2 linked regions of the Tamandua tetradactyla genome follow. The protein of the gene in region 1 binds, or shares a complex with, the protein of each later gene. Links are inferred from orthologs where the notes say so. Each region holds a gene or a part of one and is shown in the gene's direction. Other genes may lie near its edges.

Region 1 (6,959 bases):
CCATAAGTATAAAACAAACAAAACAAAATCAATCCCAAGTGGATCACTGACTTAAATATGAAAGGCAAAGTAACAGATTTCTGGAAAAATAGGGAACGACTTCTAAGCAGGATATAAAAAATATAATCATAAAAAATAGGCAAATTTAGCTACATTAAAATGAAGAACTTCTGTTTATCAAATGAGACCATTACGATATCAAAAGAGTAGGCCACAGAATGGGAGGAGATAACTTTAAAAATATAAAATCTATGAAGAGTTAGGTGTCAGAATACAAAAGAAACTCATGTAAATGAATAAGAGAGAAAAAGAACAACTTCTCAAAAAATGGGCAAGAGACTTTAATTGGTACTTTCAAAAGAGGATGTCCAAACGGTAGATAACTAACCACATTAAAGTGCTTCATTAGTTACCAGAAGTCAACGTCCACAGTGAGACATAACCGTACCCTCACCGGAACGTCTAATGTGAAAACTGTGATAATATCCCAACTGACAAGAATGGGAAGAAGCGGGACATGGGCAACGCTGCTGGCAGTGAAAACTGGTACCATCAATTTGGGAAACTGGCAGAATCTAGTAAAGCTGAACATACACACACCATGACCTCACACTGCTATTCTAGGTATCTACCTGACAAAAATATGTGCATATGTGTACCAAGAGACGCACACAAGAATGCTCATTGCAGCATCACTTATAGTATAAGAACGTTCATTGCAGCATTACTTATAATAGTCAGAAGGGGGAAACAATCAAGATATTTACCTATTATAGAACAGACAGGCTGTGGTATTTACATACAACAGAAGAATGAAAGAACTACAGCTACCTGGAAGAGCACAGAAGAATATTACAAATAAGATGTAAAGGGAACCAAGTCAAGCACAAATCAAGAGTTCCTCTACATAAAAGTCAAAACGAGACAAACTAATCTATTGCATTTCCACATAGATATTTAGATGGTTCCGCTATAAATAAAAACAAGGAATCAGTTATTGTGACCATCTGGTTTGGGGGTGAAGCAAGGGAGGGGCTTCTGGAGGGCTGACAATATTCTACTTCATGACCTGACATCAGTGTTTGCCTTGTGATAAAGTTGTTGTTCACGGTTTTTTTGTGAACTGCTTTTCTGTACGTGTGTTATCTTTCCTGAAATTTGATTAAGAAATTTGATTTGATGAGCAAAGGCAGAGGAAAGCAAGGAGAGCCCATTTTCCATGAAGGGTGGGGAGGCTGGGATCTCTGGAGGAGGAAATAGAAGAGGGAGTGCAAGGAGACACAAAAGGCCCATGGTGTGGGGGAAGGGCCAGGAGACAAGCTACTTCCTTTATTATTTCACAGACTCAACTCAAAAAGGACAGCAGCCACTCACAGGAGGATCTGCTCTTTGCTACCAAGATATCTGCCCTCTCATAGCTTCAGAAACCCTTGACAGGTATGAAAAGGGAAATCTCCTTTTTAACTTCCCTTCTGATAGAAAACTCTGGCAGTATTCTGAACCTTTTATTACTGCATTAGTTTTAAAAATCTAGAATCATTTCTTGAAAACCTCTTGGATATGAAAACTAGTTATTTTGTTGGCTTGCTTCAAAAATGTGAAGGAGCTAATTCTAATAATACTAGGTTCAGATCCTCCAGGTATTACTGGGAGTAAATTCAATATTTAATGCCAATTTCCAAATCAAAATTATTAATGTTCTTGTTCCTTAGAGACCTATTTCCCTCCCTCCTTTGCCCCCCCTCTGTTGACTACAGGATTTATAATTTTTACCAGTGAGGATTAGAGGAGGAGCATAAAGTTTACAAATGGCTACTCCCTGGATCTTCCCTAACTGGGAGGAAGTAATTTGAATGCCTGGATAGGGGAGGCCAGTTAAGATCTCATTCCTAGCAATGAATATTCTTTTATTGGGGCAAAAAATTATACTGAAAACTGGAGCAAGATACAGTATTGGGGCATGGTGTTTCCAGGTTCCAGAGATATACGGGGTTTCTGCCTATCTTCTCTCCAACAACAAAAAAAAGAGCTGCTGTGTTGTGTGTGTGTGTGTGTGAGAGAGAGAGAGAGAGAGAGAGAGAAAGGGGGGGGGGGAGAGAGAGAAAGAGGGACAGGGAGAGGGAGAGGGAGAGGGACAGAGAAAGACGAAAGTGTTGTTGAGGGGCAGGAGGGAAAACTATCTTAATTAGAGAGGAGAAATGACTGCCTACAGAAGACTTCTGGATGAAAATAAGGATGATGATGATGATGATAGTGATAAAGTTTATTTTTTTTGTTGTTTCTTTAGTTCCAGTTATCTGCAAATACGTAGCTCCTTTTTATTTTTATGGAATGACAGTTTATCTGTGTGCTTTTACATTAAATTCATTTAAAACTCACACATATAATTCAGGCTATAACTCAGGGGATGGGATGTGAGGGCTTTGCCTGGCACCAGTGTCAATAGATGTTAGCTATCATTCATTAGTATGACTATTTTTACCACTTAGGTGAGCCATCCTGCCACTCTTTTGCCTTGGATGCGCCATTGCATTGGGTAAAGTTCCTGGAGACCACACTTACCATGTTACCCAGGCCAGATGTGACCTTTTCTGGGCATCAATTTTGCCGTCAGGAAAATGAAGGACTTGGGCTCATTAAATGCTTTGACTTAAAAGATTTTCTGTGCTCATCAAGTACTCCAAGGTTTCTTCACAGGGTGGAAGTTAGTGATCCCTAGTTGTCAGCACTTCATGGTTCCAAGGCAGGAGGTTCCAAGGCGGGAGGTTCCAAGGCGGGAGGATATAGGGTCGGGGTAAGGAGTTGTACATTTCTGGGGAGGCAGTGTTTGCCTTTCCCTGGGCAGAGGTTGTGGAGGTGAAGCAGATGCCAGGGGCAGATGCTACCTAATTTGGTCAAAGAACAAAGAGTGTGTAAAACATTTGGAAATCTTTCGACACACTGGGATAGGGGCACTTGTGAGAAGAGGAGAAACAAAACTATCCTGGATTTCAGAGTAGGACTCAGTGTCTCTCAGAGGGTGAGGATAATTTTATTACAATTTCAAATTTCTAGGTTTTTGAGAAGGAAGTCTCTGGGTTGGAATTTTGACGGTACCAGTTACTAGCTTTGTTGCGCAAAGTCCTCGATGGCTTTGAGCCTCAGTTTCCTTATCAGTAAAATGGTATAAACATCAAATTTAGAGGGCCGTTGTGAGGATGTAAAAGGACAAAGTCCTTACTAAAAAGAAAATGGATAATCTTCCGAATTCCAAAGACATCTTCAGGTTTACTCACGCTTTAATCAAAATTTTCAAATTGTCGGTAGTTTTCTAAAACGATGTACTCCCTGCTTCCTCTCAGACCCTCAGCCCCCATCTTCGGCCGCGGTGCGAATAGAAGAGGTGGCACGTGGGGAAGGACGGGGGCAAACCTGGCCCCCTGGCCCGGTGAGGCCTGTCATGGCGGCCCGGAGACACCTTGGTGATCTCAAATAGGAGAGCAGGAGGAATGGAAGGGCCTGGGGGTCTGCGCTGCCGAGACCCCCGCCCCGCCTGCGGTCCGCCAGGCAAGCCCGGCAGGAGCACCGCCTCAGCCCGCTCCCTGCCTCCAGCGCCGCGGGGCCCGCCCCCACCGGGTCTCAGCCTCGCGCTCGAGCGCCCACCTAGGGAGGCGGCGGCGGCCCGGGCCTCGGACGCGGGCAGCTGGAGGCCGGAGAGCGGACGAGGGGAAACCCACACCAGCGCCGCCGCGCGCCTCGGGCCACGCGCAGGGCCGACCAGGCGACCGCACGCGCTCCCCGCCCCCTCGGCGCCTCGCCCCGCCGCCGCGGCCCCCACCCACCGGCCGCTCCTCCCCTCTCCCCACCTTCCTCCTCCGCCCCCTCCCCTCCCCCGCCGCCTCGCTGGCTGCTCCGCCGCTCTCCTGAGCCGCCCGGGCCGCGAGCGCAGGCGGCGAGGCCACCGCACCTGCAGAGCGCTCCGGCTGCCTGAGCGGCTCCTCGCCTCCCGCCGCCCGAGCCTCTCTCCCCCCGCGCCGGGTCTCCCATGACGCCCGAGCCCCCCGGCCGGCGATAATGACCACTTCTCTGCAAGATGGGCACAGCGCCGCGAGCAGGGCGGCAGCCGGGGACTCGCCGCTGGCCGCCCAGGTGTGCGGCACTGCCCAGGGGAGGGGCGACGCCCGCGACCTGGCGCCGGCCCCCTGGGTGCACGCGCGGGCGCTCCTGCCCCCTCCGGACGCCACCCGTGGCTGTGCTATGGACAGGTAGGCAGCCCTCGGAGGGCGCGGGGGAGTGTCCTGGGTTGGCAGCCGGCGAAGGGGTGAGGAGGCGGTCCTAGAGGGTGAGCCATGTGCCCAGAGCTGGGCCAAGTTTGTGAAAGTCTCAGAAGACAATTCCCTTTGAGCTGGCTCCTACCAGATCGGCAGGACATTGCGATCTCACGGCGCCTTATAAATAGCATCACCGTTTCATTGAGAGCTCTTGGTCTCTTCGTGTATGCCCATCCGTGTCAACTAGAAGGACAAGCTCCAGGTTGACCTCCACCCCCGGCCTTCCTTCGTGGCCCTAGGTTTTTTGTTTTTTTTTTTTTAATAAACAGTTTTTAAAATTTTATATATGTATTTAAGAATCGTAGCATAATGAGTTCACCTCCCACATAGAGTCTTTCAGCGACCCAGGAGAAGCAAAGCACTGAATTGACATTTGAGCAGGCTTGCTGTTCCTGAAGAAAGAATAGAGGCTTTAAAAGGTTTCCCAGTCTCCACAGCAGTCAGCATTAAGTGCCTTTAGAGTTCATAGTTTTGCACCTACTTTAGGAAAGAAAAAGACTGCAAAAACCCAAAATTCTATGGTCCTTTTTATTCATACGTTTAAATGGTGCAATTCCCTCCCCCTCAACCCCCACCCTACCCTCCGATTTGAAAGTGCTGCAACTTCAATGAAGTTAAAATTACTCTCCAGTGGACTAGAGTACATTTATACTAGCAAGTTCTATTGACTTACCTCTTCAAAAACACTGCCTTGCTGCTTATTATCTATAAGCACTTGAAAAATCAACAGACTGTGTGTGGGCAACATTGTGAATGAAATTTGAAGTGAGATGAACCACAGCTATAATTAATAAGTTATAGCCTCCTAAAGTGTAGCAAAATATCACAGGTATGAATTAACTGAATGTAACATTGATTTTGCCAATTTCGTGGATGCATAACAATTTCTAACTACTCAGGATAATTTTTGCATTAATAATGGTATATTCTACATTTGTACTTCAGGAAGATTATGAAAAGTGCTAGAAATGGGGTTTCCATGTCTAGTGATTTTTTTTTAAATCCCTCACAGAAAAATTAGGAATGCTGTGGATGATTTTTTTGTAGTAATTGGCATTTTAATTTGACCCACAGAAGGTACATCAGGGATCTTTTTTGTATACTTTACATAATATTGGTGTTGTCATAGAGCTGTACATGTTGTCCTTAACACATTTTTAATCCTGACAGCAATTATATTTTACATTCTGTTTTATGTAAATTACATCCTATGTTCTGTTGGTGTAGGAGAAAAAAGAAAGATCTTGATGTTCTGGAAATGCCATCTATTCCAAACCCTTTTCCTGAGCTGTGCTGTTCTCCATTTACGTCTGTATTATCAGCAGGCCTGTTTCACAAAGCAAATTCAATGAAAAAACAGGTATGCATTTTTAAATTTTCTGATTCAAAATCTTTGGAGTTCTAAAGAGCATACAGTTTTCATGATATTCAGTAACTTAAAATAATCACAAAAAATTAACATGGTTTATGTTAAATCTCTCTGTTGACTGATATAGTTCTTTGGCATTATTTTCTTTTTCGGGCCTCAGTTTTTTTATCTGTATGATAGAAATGTTAGAAGTTACCTCTTAGAGTTTTGAGATGGGTTAAAAGAGTGAATATCTGTTAAGTAGGGTGCGTGGAGCTGTTCTTCACAGGTTAGGTGGGAGAATTATATGTTCTAATAGATTATCAATGTTAAGTCAGGAATTGGAAGGGTGGACACTGGTAGTGGAATGAGAAGGGAATTGGTTGATTCTTCAATACTTTCTTTAATCTTTCATATTCTCAACCCAAGCCAACCTTATTTACTAAAGGAAAATGATATAGTGAGTCTGACAAAAGACAGCTGAAATTTCGGAATGGACATGTCTTTATTTCAGTGAATTATTCAATTTGGAGGCGTCTGGCTGCAGAAGGCAGATGACTTCTAAGTGATGATTAGAAGATGGACTTTATTTTTGTGATTTACTTTCTTTTCAAGTTTCTAGTTTGGGACTGACGTAAGCAACAGAGATTTCAAAGAAATGAGGATCACGCGACTATGGGGAGATCCATCATGTTTATGTATTTTGAGAGCAAAAAAATCAGGGTATGCTAGAATGATCCAGCTTTTCTCAGTATAGCCCACCCCCACTCCCCAGCCTCCCCCCGCCACCTGCCCCTGGTTTTAAACCAGTAAAACACAGAGAGGCTTCACTTTATTCTTGCAAGAGTTGAAGCAATAAACAGTCAGATACTTGCAGTGAGGAGGGGATAATGAACACAGATGAGCAAGATAGTTGATCATTTCTCCCCATCTACTGTTCTTTCTTTTTTCTGTAACTTTACGACTTTTTCTGAGATGGATTAAAGAATGTGTGATTATTTTTTTAAGAATGGCAGAAATGCCCCATGGAAAAGATGAATTCTTCATAACATTTGGCAATGATAGAGGCAATAGGAAGCTTTCCATGGAATGTCAGTCTAGTATGGCAAGGCATATATACTTTTCAGGGGAGATTGTAGTCGAATTGGTCTGCGTGTTTTGGATAAGATTGGGAAAGTGGTAATAAATATTCTAGGAACAGGTGTGCTCTCAGTCAGGGTCTGCCATGGGAGGCAAGTCCTGAAATGAGCAGGACTAAGACTTTGCATAGGAGGATGGATGGGGGGAGATTCTCTTGGAGG
Region 2 (7,385 bases), on another chromosome or scaffold:
TGATTCAATATTAAGGAATCTTTCACTTAAGTGACTTAGATTATCTCACTTTTAAAAAAATGTCTGACTTTATATAGGTTTTTTTTTTTTTTTTTACTATTCACCTAATTTTAATTGTTATATAGCCAAACATATCATTTCAAAATTCTAAATTTGGGATCTGTCTCTTGCTCAGAGAGTAATATTCCCCACTCTGAATATTACAGAATACATTTTCCATATTATAGACTCTTATGGTTTCATAGTTGAGTGGCTTTGGAATTCAACAGATACATTTTTAGTATCTTGGAAATGTTGATGTGGCTCTTTTCCATCATCTATTAATACAGTGAACTCTATGAATAGATTTCCTAATTTTGAATCATCTCTGCAGTCCCGGTCTGAGTTCTCAAATCTGGTATTGGCATTGAGTTCTTTGAAGCTTCTGTCTTGTTCTATTGGTCAATTCTGGGGTATTGCACTGTCGCTTACAAATGAGATCAGATCTTTGTTGTCTTTTCTTTTTCCTCTCCTAAATGTAATGGAGTTAAGCAGGTTTCCATATCAACATAAGGGTGAGTGTTTGCATTTATTTTCCCGCTTTAATGAAAAGGAAAACAGCTCCATTGAGGGAGATGGTGCCAAGGGGTCTTGCTAAAGCAAGACCCCAGCAGTGTGGCAGTAGATTTCCCCAACTACTCCTTGAGGGGCAATATGAGTGCAATATCTGAGCACAAAGTTTGTAGGTGTCAGATCTGGCGCCTTTGTGAAATGGTCTCTCTCTTCTTGGAGCATTCAGAGTACAGTGTGTGGAAGTGCTGAAACTGAAGCAAACCTAACAAAAACAAAGTAAAACAACAACTAAAAAAAACCTCCAACGGTTTCCAAAACTCTTTTCCTTTATTTCAACACAGTCAGACTCCCAGAAAAATTGCAAGAATGGTACACTGAATTCCTGAGTGCTCGCTTTATTAGCTACACCAATTGGATCACCTCTGCTTTGTTTTCTCTCTTTTTCTTTTTCTGAACCATCTGAGTGTCAAGTTTCAGACATTATGTTCCTTCACGTGTGCTACATAGTTCAGCATCTACTTCTATAACTGAGGACATTTTCTTACATCACTTTAGCATAATGAGGAAATTAACATTCAAACAATCCTGTTCACCAATTGGCAGATTTTTTTCAGTCTTCTGCAATTGTCCAAATTATCTTTCACTGCAAAGGAAACCCAGGATCAACTTTGATCACTTGATGAATGTAGCATCTCCTAGGTTTCTCCACTGTGAAGTGACAATTTTCTCCTTCCCTTTGTTATTGACAAGTACCTTGAGAGTGATGTAAACATCCCGTTCCCCTCAAAGTTTTCCTCATTAGTTTCAAGCATCCACTGAGGGGTATTGCATGAATCAATGAATATACACATTGCTAAAGGTGATTTTCTACTTCTACAGCCATGGTTTTAATAAAGGCAGAAGATGGTCTTGAAGTTCCAATTTTTAGATGCTTTCATTTTTGCAAAAGAAACAATGAGTGGTTGGGGGGAGTGATGATGTCTTAATTTTCTCCCAGCAAGTCACAGCTGAAATGATTCTTTTGATTTTATTTCCAGCATGGAAGTCCTGCATCAATCTTTCGGGCTTTTTTAGTACATGCTACCCGGCCAGAATTGTGGCAGTCTTTGGGTTTCCTGTGGGAGCAGATTTGCACAAGGAAAGAAGGGGACTGGTATTGAGGCAGCCTACAATTCTTGATACCTGGTCTGCAGCTGCCTCCTCCATGTTCTCCCTGGGTCCACTCTTGCCCCAGTGAAGACAATGAGATATTATTGGAAAGAAAATTTGATTATGTCAACCTTATGTGTAAAACCGTCCCCAAGGGGGTGAAATGTAACACACTCTTTACATGGCATATATGAAGTTTTGTCCCTTCTAGTACCTGCCTACCATTCCAGCATCTTCTCTTCCCTTTCTGTGCTCCAGCTATAGTGCTTGGCTTATTTGCTAGACTGTCTGCTCTGTCTCCACTGGGCACTTGCACATGCTGTTCCCTGTGCCCAAAACACTTTTCCAGGTAGCAAATGATTGGCTTTTCTCATCACTTTTGGCTGGCTCCTTCTCATCTGCAGATTTCAGCTGAAATATCACTTTCTCATGGAATCTTTCTCTGAGTGAAGACTCCCCACTCCCACGAAAACGCATAATTGTTTAATTAATGCTCTCTTACTAAACTGTGAGGTCTACAAGGAAATGGACTATAATTTTGTTCACTGGCAATCCCGCTTACTTATTATTTGTTGATTCTTCCTTTCAAGAAATATTGATTAGGCGGGCCGCGGTGGCTCAGCGGGCAAAGTGCTTGCCTGCTATGCCGGAGGACCTCGGTTCGATTCCCGGCCCCAGCCCATGTAACAAAAACGGAGAAACAGAATACAATAAAACAAGAAAATGTTTAAAAGATGTTTCCCTTCCTTCCTTCCTTCCTTCCTTCTATCCTTCCCTCCTTCTCTCTGTCTTTCCTTTAAAAAAAAAAAAAAAAAAAAAAAAAAAAAAAAGAAATATTGATTAATCAACAGATATGTCGGGCACTAGGGGTGGAGGTGGCAGTAAAAAAAAAAAAAAAAAATGGCGGGGGGAGAAGATATACCAAACAATAAATAAGAATGCCAGGTAGAGATAACCAGCCATGAAAATAACAGGGGAAGGGAACAGAGAGATGAGGGTGAAGGGAGCATTTGCAGCGCGTAGTCAGGGCATGCTCTCTGGAGCAGAGATGTGGAGCACCTGGGAAAGCGTTATAGAAGAAGCAGCCTGGCAAGGAGATGTGACGTTGGCATTTGGGAATAACTGTGGGCCCAGCCATTGACAAATTAATATTTGTTTAATAAACGACGGGAAGAATGAATGTCCTGGGCCTAGGGTTGGGCTGGGTGCTTCCCCTTGTGTCTCGGCTAACTTGGCATGCAGGTATCCACAAACCCATCATACCAGACCCAGAGATTGTCCCCCGTCCGAGGTCTCCCATTGCATGAAGGGGTGAGCCGGATTCCCAGTCTGCTTGGGCTTTCCTATCTGCAAGCCGACCTCCCTCTCCTTCAGGAGGGTGGGTTGGCCATTGCCTTGTCCCCTCGGTGAAAAACCTTGCGAAACACTCAGATACACATGGACTTCGGGTCTGCATGTTGAAAATTGGGGGTGTCCACCTGCGTCCTTGTCTGGGGCCTTTAGGCACCCGGACTGTTGTGTTAGGAGCCTACACACATTGTCCCAGGTGTCATTTGTCCAACTTGAGTCATAGGTGTCCAACTTGAGCCAGAGGCCGCGCCGAGGCGCAGGGGACACGGAGTACGCGGAGCGCACGGGGCGCGCAGGCACGTGGCCGTCCCCTGGGGCCTGCCGGGGCATCCGCCGCGGGGCAGGGGGGCGCGCGAGGCCTGCAGTCCCGAGCGCCCTACTGCGCAGGTTGCAGGAGCCGGGGGTGGATTTGGGGCACACGAGCGCGCAGGGACAAGCGTCGCGCGGGCGGGCGCAACGAGGGAGGTGCTCGCTTGGGCTGCACAATTTAAGGGAGTGACCAAAACAAAAAACAAAAACGAGTAACAGAGACAAATGGGATTTAATGCACTGCTGAAAAAACCAAAAAAAAAAAAAAAAAAAAAATCCACGCTTTTAAAGAAAGACAGCATCCGAGGGGCACCTCCCCCCCGCTCCCCTTCCTGCCCACACTTTGTCCCTGGAATCTCTGGGCCGTGGGGGGCGCCGAGGCTGGAGCAGGGTGCGGGGGGTGGGTCAGGGCGCCCTCTCGGTTGGGGCGCGCCCGGGCCCTGCCGCGCGGGGCCCCGAAGAGGGCGGGCTGCCGGGGGCGGGCCAGGGCGGGGCGGGCCGGGCCCTCCCCCTTCGCGGCCTCCGCCCCCCTCTCCCGGGCGCCCCGTCCCTTCCGCGGCCGGATCCGCGCCGCCTTTTCCCGCGGCCCGCACGGGGCCCAGCTGACGGCCGCGTTGTTTACGGGCCCCGAGCAGCCCTCGCTCCCGCCGTCCGCCAGCCCAGGTGCCCGCCCGCGCGTCCCTCTGTCCGTCCGCGCGTCCGCCGACGGCGGGGCCCAGAACGCTCTTGGCCGAAGGTGCCGCGTGGAAGTCCGCGCCCCGAGAACCCCCCAGCCCCACCCCGAGCGCGGGGCCGGGACCCGAGTGGCCTGGAGGGCGGGGAGCCGGGGCGCCTGGTCTTCGGAGCGGCCGAGGCCCGCGCTCGCCCCTCCCGGGGCGGTTTCCAGGGCCCTCCCGGGGCGGGTGCCGCTGCCCGCGGGCCGCCGGCGTGGGAGAGAAGGACGCGCGGGCCCCGGCGCCTCCCGGGCGGGCCGTCTCGGAGCATGCACCCCGCGGGCCGGCGCCGCGCGCTCTGAACCGCAGCAGGACCCCGCGCTCCCGCGGCGATGGGCGCAGGGGCCGGGCGGGGATCGGCGGGCGCGCCGCTGCTGCTGGCCGTGGCCGCGCTGCTGCTGGGCGCCGCGGGCCACCTGTATCCCGGAGACGGTGAGTCTGGGGGCGCCGGGGCGGGCGGAGGGGCCCTCACCGCCCCCAAAGGAGCCGCCCCCGCGGGGCACCGGGTGTCCCCGGGGGCGGGGGACGCGCGGGTGGCCCGGACGGCCCCGCGGGGGGCTGGAGGCCGCTGACCTTGGCCTTCGCCCGCCTGGGCTCGCGGCCCCGCGCCCCGCTGTTGCGAGCCCTGCTGGGGAGGCACCTTCCCCCAGTGCCCGCCCCGCCGTGGGCGCCTCTCCCCAGCGCACACCTCGGACCCGAGCCTGGCCCCCCTGCTTGCCCAAGGCGCCCGGGAGGCTGGACGCGCCGCGTCTTCGGGTGGCCCCGACCCCTCGGGGTCACAGGGTTTGGGCGGCCTCGGACGGCCGAGTGTTTTGAGTTTGGAGCCAAATCCCGGGGTGCCGGGCCGGGAGGTCCCTTGGGGTCCCCGCTGGTGGGTGTCACTGCCCGAGGCGGGGGTGGGGGAATTAATTGGAGGACTTTCCCTTTCTCACTTCCTAGAGTCTGGGCCGGTGGCTACATTTTACAGGTCCCTAGTTACACTTTTGGGTTCTAGTTACACTCCTTCCAGATGTGAGGAGGCAAATTCTAAGAACCGGCTGCAGTTGCAACAGGAGTAGTGGCAGTTTTTATCAAGATTCTTCTAATTAGTATCACCCTATGCCACGGGCTGGCCCATCTTATCTCTCTGGACCCTCACGGTGGCCCCTGGAGACTGATAACTGTTGTTCTCAGAGTAGGAACCTGGGCTGGGACTCGAACCCCTCTCTGCCAGCTTCCCTCCCAAGGCTGGGGACTCTTTCCCCACCACCCATGTCTCCCCCAACTCCTCCCGCCCCCAGATCTACCCCTCATAAAGGGCTCTCTACCTGCAGTCTTTTTTGGGGGGGAGGGAAATCTCTGGCCTTGGGTGAGCCTCTCACACCCCCCTCCAGGTGTCCCTATGCCTGGAGCAGACAGAAGCAACCCCAGCCCCAGTATCCTTCTCATGCCTGATATTGTCTACTTTTTGAGACTGGGACTGAAGAATCATTTGAGGACATAAATCTAATTTCCCACCATGGGGTCTGAAGCCCTGCTTTAAAAATATCTGAGGTTGCTTCAGATTTTTCCATAAAAGGAAATTGATCATGGATGAAGAAGGGGTCTGGGAGGGAAGGAACAGAAGAATCTCCTAAGTGTACTCGGTGTTGAATGAGGTGGATGAGAAAGCATAGGCTTTGGAGTTGGCCAACCAGGTTTGTTGAGCAGCTCTGCCACTTAATGTCTGGGAGTCCCCAAAGGTCAGGGATGCAGTAGGTGCTCAGTGAAGGGTGGCAGTTGGTTTGAGTTCTTGGTACGAAAAATCCAAGATGAGTTGTTAAACCCATGCCAGGCTTCTCGCGGGCATGCATAATGTGCACAGCCTGCATATGTGTGGTTCCCTACTCTTCTGTTCCTTGCAGTTGTTCTGTGCCTTGGGCTTCCAGGGGTCAGCTGCTTATGTATTTACAGCTTCCATGGGGATCCACTGGGGCAGGGGCTTTTGTCTGTTTCATCTGTGCCCGGCGCGTGGTAGATGTTCAGTAAATATTTATTCCTCAGTGGGACTAGGCACAGTGCGAAGCTCCTTTGTAGTTGGGTTGAGGAGCTCCTTCTCCTCCTGGTTATACTAACTACCAGTTCTAAGAGTAAGCACATGCAAGGCACAGTGCTCCATGCTTTGCATGTATAATCTCAGTCAATTCTCACTGCTGCTGGTGAGGTAAGGTTTTTCATTCCCTTGTGGGGATGATTTGCTGAGAACCACTGAAAAAGCAAGTGGCAGAGCCACGATTAGAACTCAGACTGGTCCGGCCCCAGGGCATGGGTTTCTTAACTAACGGCTGTTCTTTCCTTAACTAGTTCCTGTTGTGGGTCCAAGCCTCCCCCACTTCTGCCCTGGGATAATGTTGAACAAAACATTATTCTTTCAAATAAACGAGAGCTGAACCCCCTTGAAAGCTTGGGTGGGTGAGGGGGGGGGGCAAGAAACTTTCCAGAGCATTAATTTCTAAAGTCGGCCAAGATGACATTTTGACTGGGGTGGGGCAGATCACCCAATCTAATGTGATTTTTAAGGAAGGAAGGACTCTTTCTCAGAGGTGTCAGTGGAACTGCAGCGCCCCAGGTTTTCCGAGGAGTTGTTGCTGCACTGAGCTGGGTGGTGGCTTTTTTTCCGCTATTGCCATTTGGATTGGATGGTTCTAACCAAGATTACTTGCCAGCATTGCAGGAAGAGAATTAAGAATTAAGAAGTCTTAACTAAGAGAATTAAGATTTAAGAGAATTAAGGTGCCATGGTATTGATTAAAGTGAAAACCTTCAGAGCTTTCCATAGTAATCGAGGTGTGAGACGCTTGTTTCTCAGATACTCCTCACTTCTCAGCTACTCTGTAATGAGGGACCGTCATGAGCTGCTTCTCTTGGGTGTTTGGTAGTGAAAGATGTTCCGGGACATCCCCTGCACCCTTGGAGTGGTTATTCCAGATCTTTGCTTCACTCCTGGAGACCTTCCACTGTCTCCTGCCCCACTCACTCATAGAGACCATGGGGACGCTTCCTAAGGTCCCTGTGTTGATTTCCATGTCCTCTTCAGTTGGAGTAGGATTTCTCAGCCTAATATTCTTGACATTTAGGACCAGATAATTCTTAGTCGTGGGGTGGGTGGCAGAGGGGGCTGTCCAGTGCATTGTAGGGTGTGGACCAGCCTCCCTGGCCTCTATCCATTAGATGCCAGCAGCACCAACGCCTATCCCCAGCCTTTACAATAAAAAATGTCTCCAAACATTGCCAGATGTCCTCCCGAGGGGTGGAAGGCAAAATTGTCCCAAGTCAAGAGCCCCCCTGCATTAG

The links. Proteins that work in one complex are often made in the same cells at the same time.
Region 2: the proteins of GRB14 (region 1) and INSR are in contact, whole or in part, in a crystal structure (PDB 2AUH), measured with the Homo sapiens proteins. The link is inferred for Tamandua tetradactyla from reciprocal best matches to the Homo sapiens genes GRB14 and INSR. Residues at the interface, in NP_004481.2 of Homo sapiens: Glu373, Asn374, Ser375, Leu376, Val377, Ala378, Met379, Asp380, Phe381, Ser382, Ser386, Val388, Ile389, Glu394, Val398, Ala399, Glu401, Glu402, Gly403, Leu404, Trp406, Arg407; in NP_000199.2 of Homo sapiens: Leu1065, Arg1066, Ile1069, Glu1070, Lys1112, Arg1116, Arg1163, Met1180, Arg1182, Tyr1190, Lys1192, Gly1193, Gly1194, Lys1195, Gly1196, Leu1197, Leu1198, Pro1199, Val1200, Trp1202, Ser1207, Leu1208, Lys1209, Asp1210, Gly1211, Gln1235, Asn1242, Glu1243, Leu1246.

What each region holds. Positions count from the first base shown.
Region 1 is NC_135329.1:135,773,219-135,780,177, reverse strand, and holds the start of GRB14 (growth factor receptor-bound protein 14), read left to right. Parts: upstream 1-3,945; 5' UTR 3,946-4,053; coding exon 4,054-4,244; intron 4,245-5,537; coding exon 5,538-5,670; intron 5,671-6,959. UniProt on the Homo sapiens protein: Adapter protein which modulates coupling of cell surface receptor kinases with specific signaling pathways. Binds to, and suppresses signals from, the activated insulin receptor (INSR). Potent inhibitor of insulin-stimulated MAPK3 phosphorylation.
Region 2 is NC_135337.1:83,573,357-83,580,741, reverse strand, and holds the start of INSR (insulin receptor), read left to right. Parts: upstream 1-4,379; 5' UTR 4,380-4,405; coding exon 4,406-4,505; intron 4,506-7,385. UniProt on the Homo sapiens protein: Receptor tyrosine kinase which mediates the pleiotropic actions of insulin.